2 linked regions of the Caenorhabditis elegans genome follow. The protein of the gene in region 1 interacts with the protein of each later gene in a pairwise test. Each region holds a gene or a part of one and is shown in the gene's direction. Other genes may lie near its edges.

What was found. Proteins that work in one complex are often made in the same cells at the same time.
Region 2: the proteins of mpz-3 (region 1) and M05D6.5 interact in a two-hybrid assay, tested with the Caenorhabditis elegans proteins (one large-scale study listed by BioGRID).

The regions. Positions count from the first base shown.
Region 1 is NC_003280.10:6,563,612-6,567,366, reverse strand, and holds mpz-3 (PDZ domain-containing protein), read left to right. Parts: upstream 1-1,970; 5' UTR 1,971-2,016; intron 2,017-2,046; exon of another isoform or gene 2,047-2,119; intron 2,120-2,213; coding exon 2,214-2,312; intron 2,313-2,495; coding exon 2,496-2,576; intron 2,577-2,625; coding exon 2,626-2,820; intron 2,821-2,864; coding exon 2,865-2,999; intron 3,000-3,048; coding exon 3,049-3,249; intron 3,250-3,317; coding exon 3,318-3,533; 3' UTR 3,534-3,573; downstream 3,574-3,755. Other genes in the region: dbd-6 (DB domain-containing protein), read right to left, coding at 193-233; F18C5.5 (Vegetative cell wall protein gp1-like), read left to right, coding at 706-739, 1,099-1,165, 1,207-1,650, 1,700-1,823.
Region 2 is NC_003280.10:8,480,247-8,484,001, reverse strand, and holds M05D6.5 (HIG1 domain-containing protein), read left to right. Parts: upstream 1-1,798; 5' UTR 1,799-1,807; coding exon 1,808-1,948; intron 1,949-2,025; coding exon 2,026-2,174; intron 2,175-3,101; coding exon 3,102-3,243; 3' UTR 3,244-3,515; downstream 3,516-3,755. Other genes in the region: taap-1 (TAil-Anchored Protein), read left to right, coding at 738-854, 903-1,114, 1,240-1,396; lact-4 (Beta-lactamase-related domain-containing protein), read left to right, coding at 3,529-3,680.

The DNA.
Region 1 (3,755 bases):
AATTGGATTGATAATTTCAAAAAGTTTTGTAAATTTTTCCCTTGACGATTTCTGTAGCTCAGCCAAATTTTTCAATTGGAGAATCTTTTGAACTAGATGATCTAGATTCCACTAGATGTTTTAGATGCTTCGGAAACTTTTTATTGTGTCAAAGTTTTAATTTAAAATAAAACTTTTTTCATATAAACTTACATAACGAATAGTAGACAGAAAAAGAAGACGCACGTTCGCATTGTACTGCGAAAATAAAAATGGTACGATTATAACAGTACCACCTCGAGTATCATCTATGTCCCGCCCATTATTTGAGTGTCCTCAAATTTGCATAGCATTGTTGTAAAACCATGTCACAAGTGGGATACTTTACAAAGTATATGTTAAAAATTGACAGCGAACACTAATGTTCTGAACAACATAGAATTAAATAAAAATCTAGCAAGTTCAATATCACGATAATCCAATATATCCCTGTTTGTAAAAACTAATGTTAGCTGAACTTTCATCTTATTGAAGACAGTGTACAAGTGGTGGATATCCATTGTCTTTTTTCATTTTCAACGGGAATTTTCATTGAGATTTCCACAAAATGATGGCTAATTGATAAGGGCAAAACGAGAAATCGTAGGAAGAAAAGTGATAAGAAGCGACGCCTTCGAGGCTTATTCTATCTTTTTCGTCTTCTCATTTTTGTGGAAAGAATCAACAATGAAGCTTCTTCTGTTAGCTGTTTGTGTCATCGGTTAGTTTTTCGATTGTTTCGTTGATTTATCCCTAAATTTAGCTCTAAATGGTAAAGGAAATATTTATCTAATTGGGTTAAAATATGTTCAAATTTGTTTTAAAAAATATTAAGAAAAATACATAACTAATTTATTTGACATATCCAAAACTTCTTAGTCATAACAATTTTACCCAATATGAATTCTGCTTGTACGTCAATAAATTGAAACGTTCTATAAATAACCAAATTTCGATTCTCATATTTTCTTCGTCTTGCACGAAATCGCAAAAAAAACCAGTCCAGAAAAATTGCTTCTATATAATTTTCAGTTGATCAATATATTTGACTTCAAAATTCAATTAATTTCAACATTTCAGGATTCGTTGCATGTTATGAAGTTGTACCGAGAGCAAGTGCTTTAAGACCGAGAGGAGATGTTCGAAGGTTTAACATTTATTCCATTTTTTCTTTAATCTATTCTTCAGATCACCCCTCCCATCATTATCGGCATATGCTCCTTTTGCTAAATCTCTTCGTCCAGCTTCTACAGGAATCCGACGTGCTCCAGCAGTTGTTACACTTCCAGCTCAAAAAGCTAATCGTTCAGTGAAAAGAGCTCCAGCTAAACCACTTCCAATGACACTTCCACTTCTTCCACCACTTCTTCCACTTCCACAATTCATTCCAGTACCTGTACCAGTCCTGTCTGCAGAAGGCCTTCCAACTCTTCCAACTCTTGCTCCACATACTTTCCCAACTTTCACTCCAATTCCTGGAATGCCAACAATGCCTGCATTGACAATGCCACCAAGTTTCCAACGTCTTCTTGGAATCACAACTACAACTATGAAACCAGCTGAAAAAGCTATGGAAACTGTTCAAACTGAAGAATCTGATAATGACACAACGTCCGAAGCTAGAGCTCATAGGTGAATTACTCAAATCAGGAGAAAATAATCTAATATTAATTAATTTCAGCGCCCCAACATACAGCAAAGATCTGAATACAATTCGTTCAAGACTTTCAAAGTTTGTAAGAGGAAGTGAAAAGAAAGTGACAAAAGCAGAAGACAACGCTGATTGGATTGTTCCATTCCATTGATCTCATCAAAATATAATAATTTTAATTAATAATAAATAATTTAATTAATTTAATAAATATACCCGCGTGACATCGTTTGAATTCGTTTTACACAGAAAAAAATCAGAAAATAAAAAGTGAAAAGAGAAACTGAATCAGTTTCAAATATTTCCTTGTCGACAGTTGCTTTCATCTTCGCATCAATCTATTCGGGGTAAGTTAATATTCAGACTGCAAAAAATCAAGCCACCTAGGGGACTCGAACCCCTGACCTTAAGATTAAAAGTCTCACGCTCTACCAACTGAGCTAAGGAGGCCAGCGAGTGCGCTGGGTCCAAAGGCATAGACGCTCGACTAGTTACAGGAGACGCGAGAGTGGGTTGCTGTGAGATAGACACGTACTATTTACAGATGGCAACCAACAACAATAGTTTTCATGTAAAAGGAAAAGAAGAAGTACAATTCGAACGGAAAAATGTGGTTGTAGCATGTGATGTGGTCAATGGAAAGGTAAATAAAGAATCCAACACAGGGCTCGCGTCGAGAGCCGAATAAAACTTCAAAAGCCCTGATGTGTAGAACAGTAGAACACTCTTTAATAAATAAGAAGTCCGGTTGCAATTTCCTTCGAGGCTGTAAAAAGACTCATTTTCAATTCAAAAATCGAAGAGATCTTGAATAATCACATTGCAGATTACATATGTGGATGTGAGTAGCCAACTGATGGGTGTTCTATTTGCTGGTGATGAGATTCTGAATGTCAATGGAGAAACTGTAAGGAATATTTTAAGATTTTCCGTTTCAACTAATCAAACATTTCCAGAACATCAAGACAACTGCTGACTTTATCCGTGCAATTAGTGCAAAACTTCCCGGAAAAGTGACAATTGAATTCATGCGAGACGATCATTGCCTTGTCACTGAAAAACCAATGCCACCACGTCGTCCAAATACTCAAATGGTTGAGTTGACTTTCACTTATCGTGGAGGTGCTGCAACAGGGATTATCATTCATAGAGTTAGTAATCAGGGACAATTTATACTTTCATGGATGATTTACAGATGGCAGTTGATCCAAAAACTGTGACTATTTCAATGGTTCAATCGGCTTCCAATGCGTGTCACTATGTCAAGGATGGAGATATTCTTGTTAAAGTTAATGACATTTATGTTCTTGATCGTGACTCTGCTAGAAAGGTATTGTAGTATTTTTCTTATTTTATTTTAGTAATTAACTTACTTTCAGCTTCTCTACGCGAGTGTCAACAACACAAAAACGGTCCGTCTTACATTGGAAAGATCCACAACTACTGATCCACTTGGTCCTGCTCCACCGCCTCCCGATGGTGCACAGAGCACACCTGCTGGAGTGAAGAAATCTGGAAATTCAGTGATGCTTCCTCCTCCAAAACCACCCCAAGGAAAAGCCAACAAGCAGTTTGATGTGGTCAGTTTGAACCCATTTCCTCTTATCATTTCATTTACCAAAACATGTTTTTATTTTCTTCTTTGCAGCTTCTTCCTCCTGATGTTTTGGAGATTATGAAGGCAAACAAAGATTTCTACAAGAAACCGTGCAAGAATCCTCCATGCATCATCAAAACAACCGCCGCATCAGCCCCTGCTCCAGTTCCAGCCACCTTGCCATCGGATCCTGCCCCAGAAGTTCGCATCCCGTACATTCCGTCTCCGAAGCCCCTGAAAATGACTCCAAAACGTGTGGGATCTTAACTTGAGAAAAGTGTTCGAAATAAAGTTTTCAAAAAGTGTTTGTTTGGTTGTTTACCGTTCTATCCATCCCTAACCTATGCCTAGAGACACAAATATTTACGGTCCTTCAACCTGTGATTTGAAAAAGGCAGGCCTAATTCTATTTATTGTTGAATGCCAGATTGGTTTCTCCTCGAAACCCTCATGAATCTAAAACCTACAGCTTTTACACATTATTTGAAA
Region 2 (3,755 bases), 1.9 Mb from region 1:
TAGTGCACTAGACACCAGACAGACGGCGGCCTACGTGACTTATCGCGCGTTTTTCGGGTCCGAAACGTGAATCTTGCGAAGAAAAACCCCGCCTAAAAGTATCATTAAAGCATGCGAAAAATGATGACAAAAGGAATATTTGCCAACATGGTCCCTCATTACTTTATTATCTTTATCTTCCTTTAGGTTCTTGCTACTTGATATTCTATAGTACTAAGTAAGTTGCTCGTTATTTCCACGTTATTCAATAATTTTACAAAGAGAGAGAGTTTGAAATTGATGTTTGAATTATTCGAAAATTAATCAGATTGTAGCATTTCAATTAATACATAAATTACATGGCATGCAGATTCAAAGACTATTGATGAAAAATTCAATTTGAATCACCGCGTTTCAAGTTTATCAATAGAGCGTAGTTTCATCTTTGCGGGGTACTGTATTATTATTAATTTAATTCCAATTTATTCGTGTTTTTCTGTTATTTTTCTTCAAAATGCAGAAGATATTGATACTTTTTTTCTTACCCTGAGGCACTTCTCAACGAAATAAAAAATTTCTCTGCATCACTGAGTCTCTCCTATTTCCTGTTGCGCCCGGAGTTTGTGTACTACATTTCTCTCGTATGCTGCGTTTCAAAAACGGGCGGTTTCTCAGCTTTTTTTCATCACTATTCTTGTTTCTTCGGTCAGCTTGCACTTTAGATTTAAAATCGACAAAAATTAAAATTTTCAGTCAAAATGCTGTCATCGGTTATAAGATGCGGAGGACAGCAAGCCTCATCGCGAATGACTCCGGCTGTTTGTATGGCAATTCGAAGATTTGATCCGCTGGAAGCTAAAATGGCTCAAAAAAAGGTAAGCTAATTTGAATATTATACTATTTTCATACTTATTCATTTTCAGGCCCAAATTATCGAACAACAACAAGGCCAGGAGGTTGACCAACATCGTGTGACCTACGCAACCAAAGACGATTTCAAACATTCTGTTCAAGATTCTCGTTTTACTGGAGCAGCCGATTCAGAAACTGGACAAGTACCTACAAAGTGGCAGAGAAAATTTTTGGTGATTACCAAACTTTACCCGTCTGCCGCTGATATTCCACCATATGTTCAGTAAGTAATTTTCTTTGAAAATCTTAAAAAAAAAAGCTTCATAAATGCATATTCCTGGAATTAATGGAAAACTTCAAATTAAAAAAAGCCGATAAATTGTCTAAGATAAATATTTCCAATTTCAGCCATGGAACAATGAACAGAATGCACGACAGAATGCGAGTAGTCTTCATTGTCACTGCTTCACTTTTCTTCTTTTCAACATTCTACATCGCTGAAAGAGCAATGGCTCAGAAAATCGCACGTGATCGTGATGCAGGAGTAGTTGTTACCAAGATGTAAATTTCGAATTTGTTTGTTTGACCAGAATCAAATTGTACAAATTGGTAGAAATGAGCAGTTATAGTAGAATATCTTGCTTTTTCTTAAATAATTCGGTTAAAATCGTGTCAAAAATTAAAAATTTTAGCGCTCAATTTCTTATTCAATTTTACTAGTTTGGCTCCTCGTTTGTTACGGTTTCTAAAATCTTTTTTTGTAAATTATGTGTTTCATAAATGTTTGAAAATTGATTAATCTTATTTTAGTTTTCGATGAATCCGTTCAATCGGTCCGAACATTCATATAGTCTTCTCAATGTTTTTTTTTTTTTAATTCATTTTATATTGCTCTAATTTTTCTATTTACGCGTTTCTTTGTTATTTTTGTGTAAGTTCTATTTCTTATTATAGTTAATTACTCTCTTCACACAAAATGGGCATGTTCCGTACAGCTTTCATGAACGTCGCCGGAGTCCACGAGGAGCCGAAGAAAGGATCTTACGAATGGAAAAAAGAACATATGACACCACAACAACTCGCAAGAACTATGGATAATGCCGAGAAATACAATGGAGTGAGTTCTTTGAAAATATTATTTAAAACAATATAAAGTTAAATTTTGTTTCAAATTAAAAAAAAAATTTTTTTCAGATCCCTGCAATTCCAGTCGACATTGGATACCACAGCGGAAAGAACACAGGCGGTGCACAGAAGACTGGAGTGGTCTCAAATGCTGCGAGCAATCCAGGAGTCATTCTTGGAATGGGACTGACAACTGCCGCCCTTTTGGGAATGTTCAAGTAAGTGTCAAAATCTTAAAAATAAATAGTTTTAAACGTTGTTTGAAAAACTAAAAATTTAAACCTTTTCGAAAATATGTTTAGGAAAACTTGTATTACCCAGACGCGAGGTTACGCGACTTTTGCCCCAGAAATACGGTTTTCGGTCTCGACACGAAATTTTTTGTTCAATACAAACGGGTGTGCGCCTTTAAAGAGTACTGCAATTTTAAACTTTTGTCGTTGCCAAGTTTTCATCGATTTTTTCAAATGGCTTTTATCACGACTTGAAACGAAAAACTATGAGAAGTCGATAAAAATTCCGCTGTAACAAAAACTGAAAACTACTCTTTAAAGAACAACATCCGTTTGTATTTAAAAGAATTCGTGTTGAAACCGGGGGTCGTCAAATATTTTTGTGATTTTTTGATATAGTTACTGTGCTTTTCACGTGAATCTCGTTGAGTGCATAATTTGTCTGAACTTTTGATCTTCTGTGTTGAGCAAATGAGCACAGAGAACAGATTAGATGAGACACCACCTGTCCGATAAATTGGGCGGAGCATAGAGGACACCAGACTAGTCTCGGACGTTCGAGAACAATTACTAATTTAGTATATATATATACACATTTTTATTAGTATTTACAAGTATTAATCAATTTCATTTATGTGACCTTATCAGTGTTAGCTAGAGTGTAGTCTACCACTTTTTCTGCCAAATCCAGTTTTCTCTCATTTTAACACTTTTTGATCTCTGTCTATGTTCTATACTTTAGTAAACAATGTATGAACACGTGATTAATAATAGTGTATCGTTGTTAAAAATTTAAAATATATCAAGTTAACTTATTTTGGCAATTAAGATTTAATGAAATTTTAGAGGAATCTTAAATTCTAAAATTTATTTATCAAAAAAAAACACATAAAAATTCAAAATTTTCTATAGATCCTCATTTCTTGGTGACAAAGTCGGAGCTCAAAAAATGATGCAGTACCGTATTATGGCCCAATTTTTCACTGTCACCGCTCTTGTCGCCGGAGTGACCATTTTCGGTGCCACGTATGAAGATGAGGAGCACCAGAAATGAATAAATTGTATACTTTCTCTCTTTTCCAATTTTCTTATGATTAGTCTCTTTTTATTTGCTTTCATCTCTTATCATCACCGACTAGAACTTTCCTTCCGTGATTTGAGGTTTTTTTTTGGAGTTTTCCAAAAAATGTGCTTTCAAATATTTTGAAGCCCGGGTTTTCCCTCGTCTCATCTCTTTCAATTCTTCCCTGTTGCTGAATTATATTGTACGCTCCTTTCACTCTCAACATCCACCTCTCATTTTTTGAATAAATTTATCAAAATTCATGTTTTAGAGGCAATGCTCGAAAAGTTTACAATTACACATTTTCTAATTTTCCTTCTCGGATTTGCATTGGTCATTTGGAATTCAGATTCTGGAAGTAAACAGACAGAAATTCATGTGGATGGAGAGTTTGATCCAAAATGGAAACATGTGGCAGATATGTTCAGGTTAGAAATTTTCAAAAAATGTAGTCAAAAATTGAAAGTTTGTGAAGTACTATTACCCATATTTGAAATTTTGCC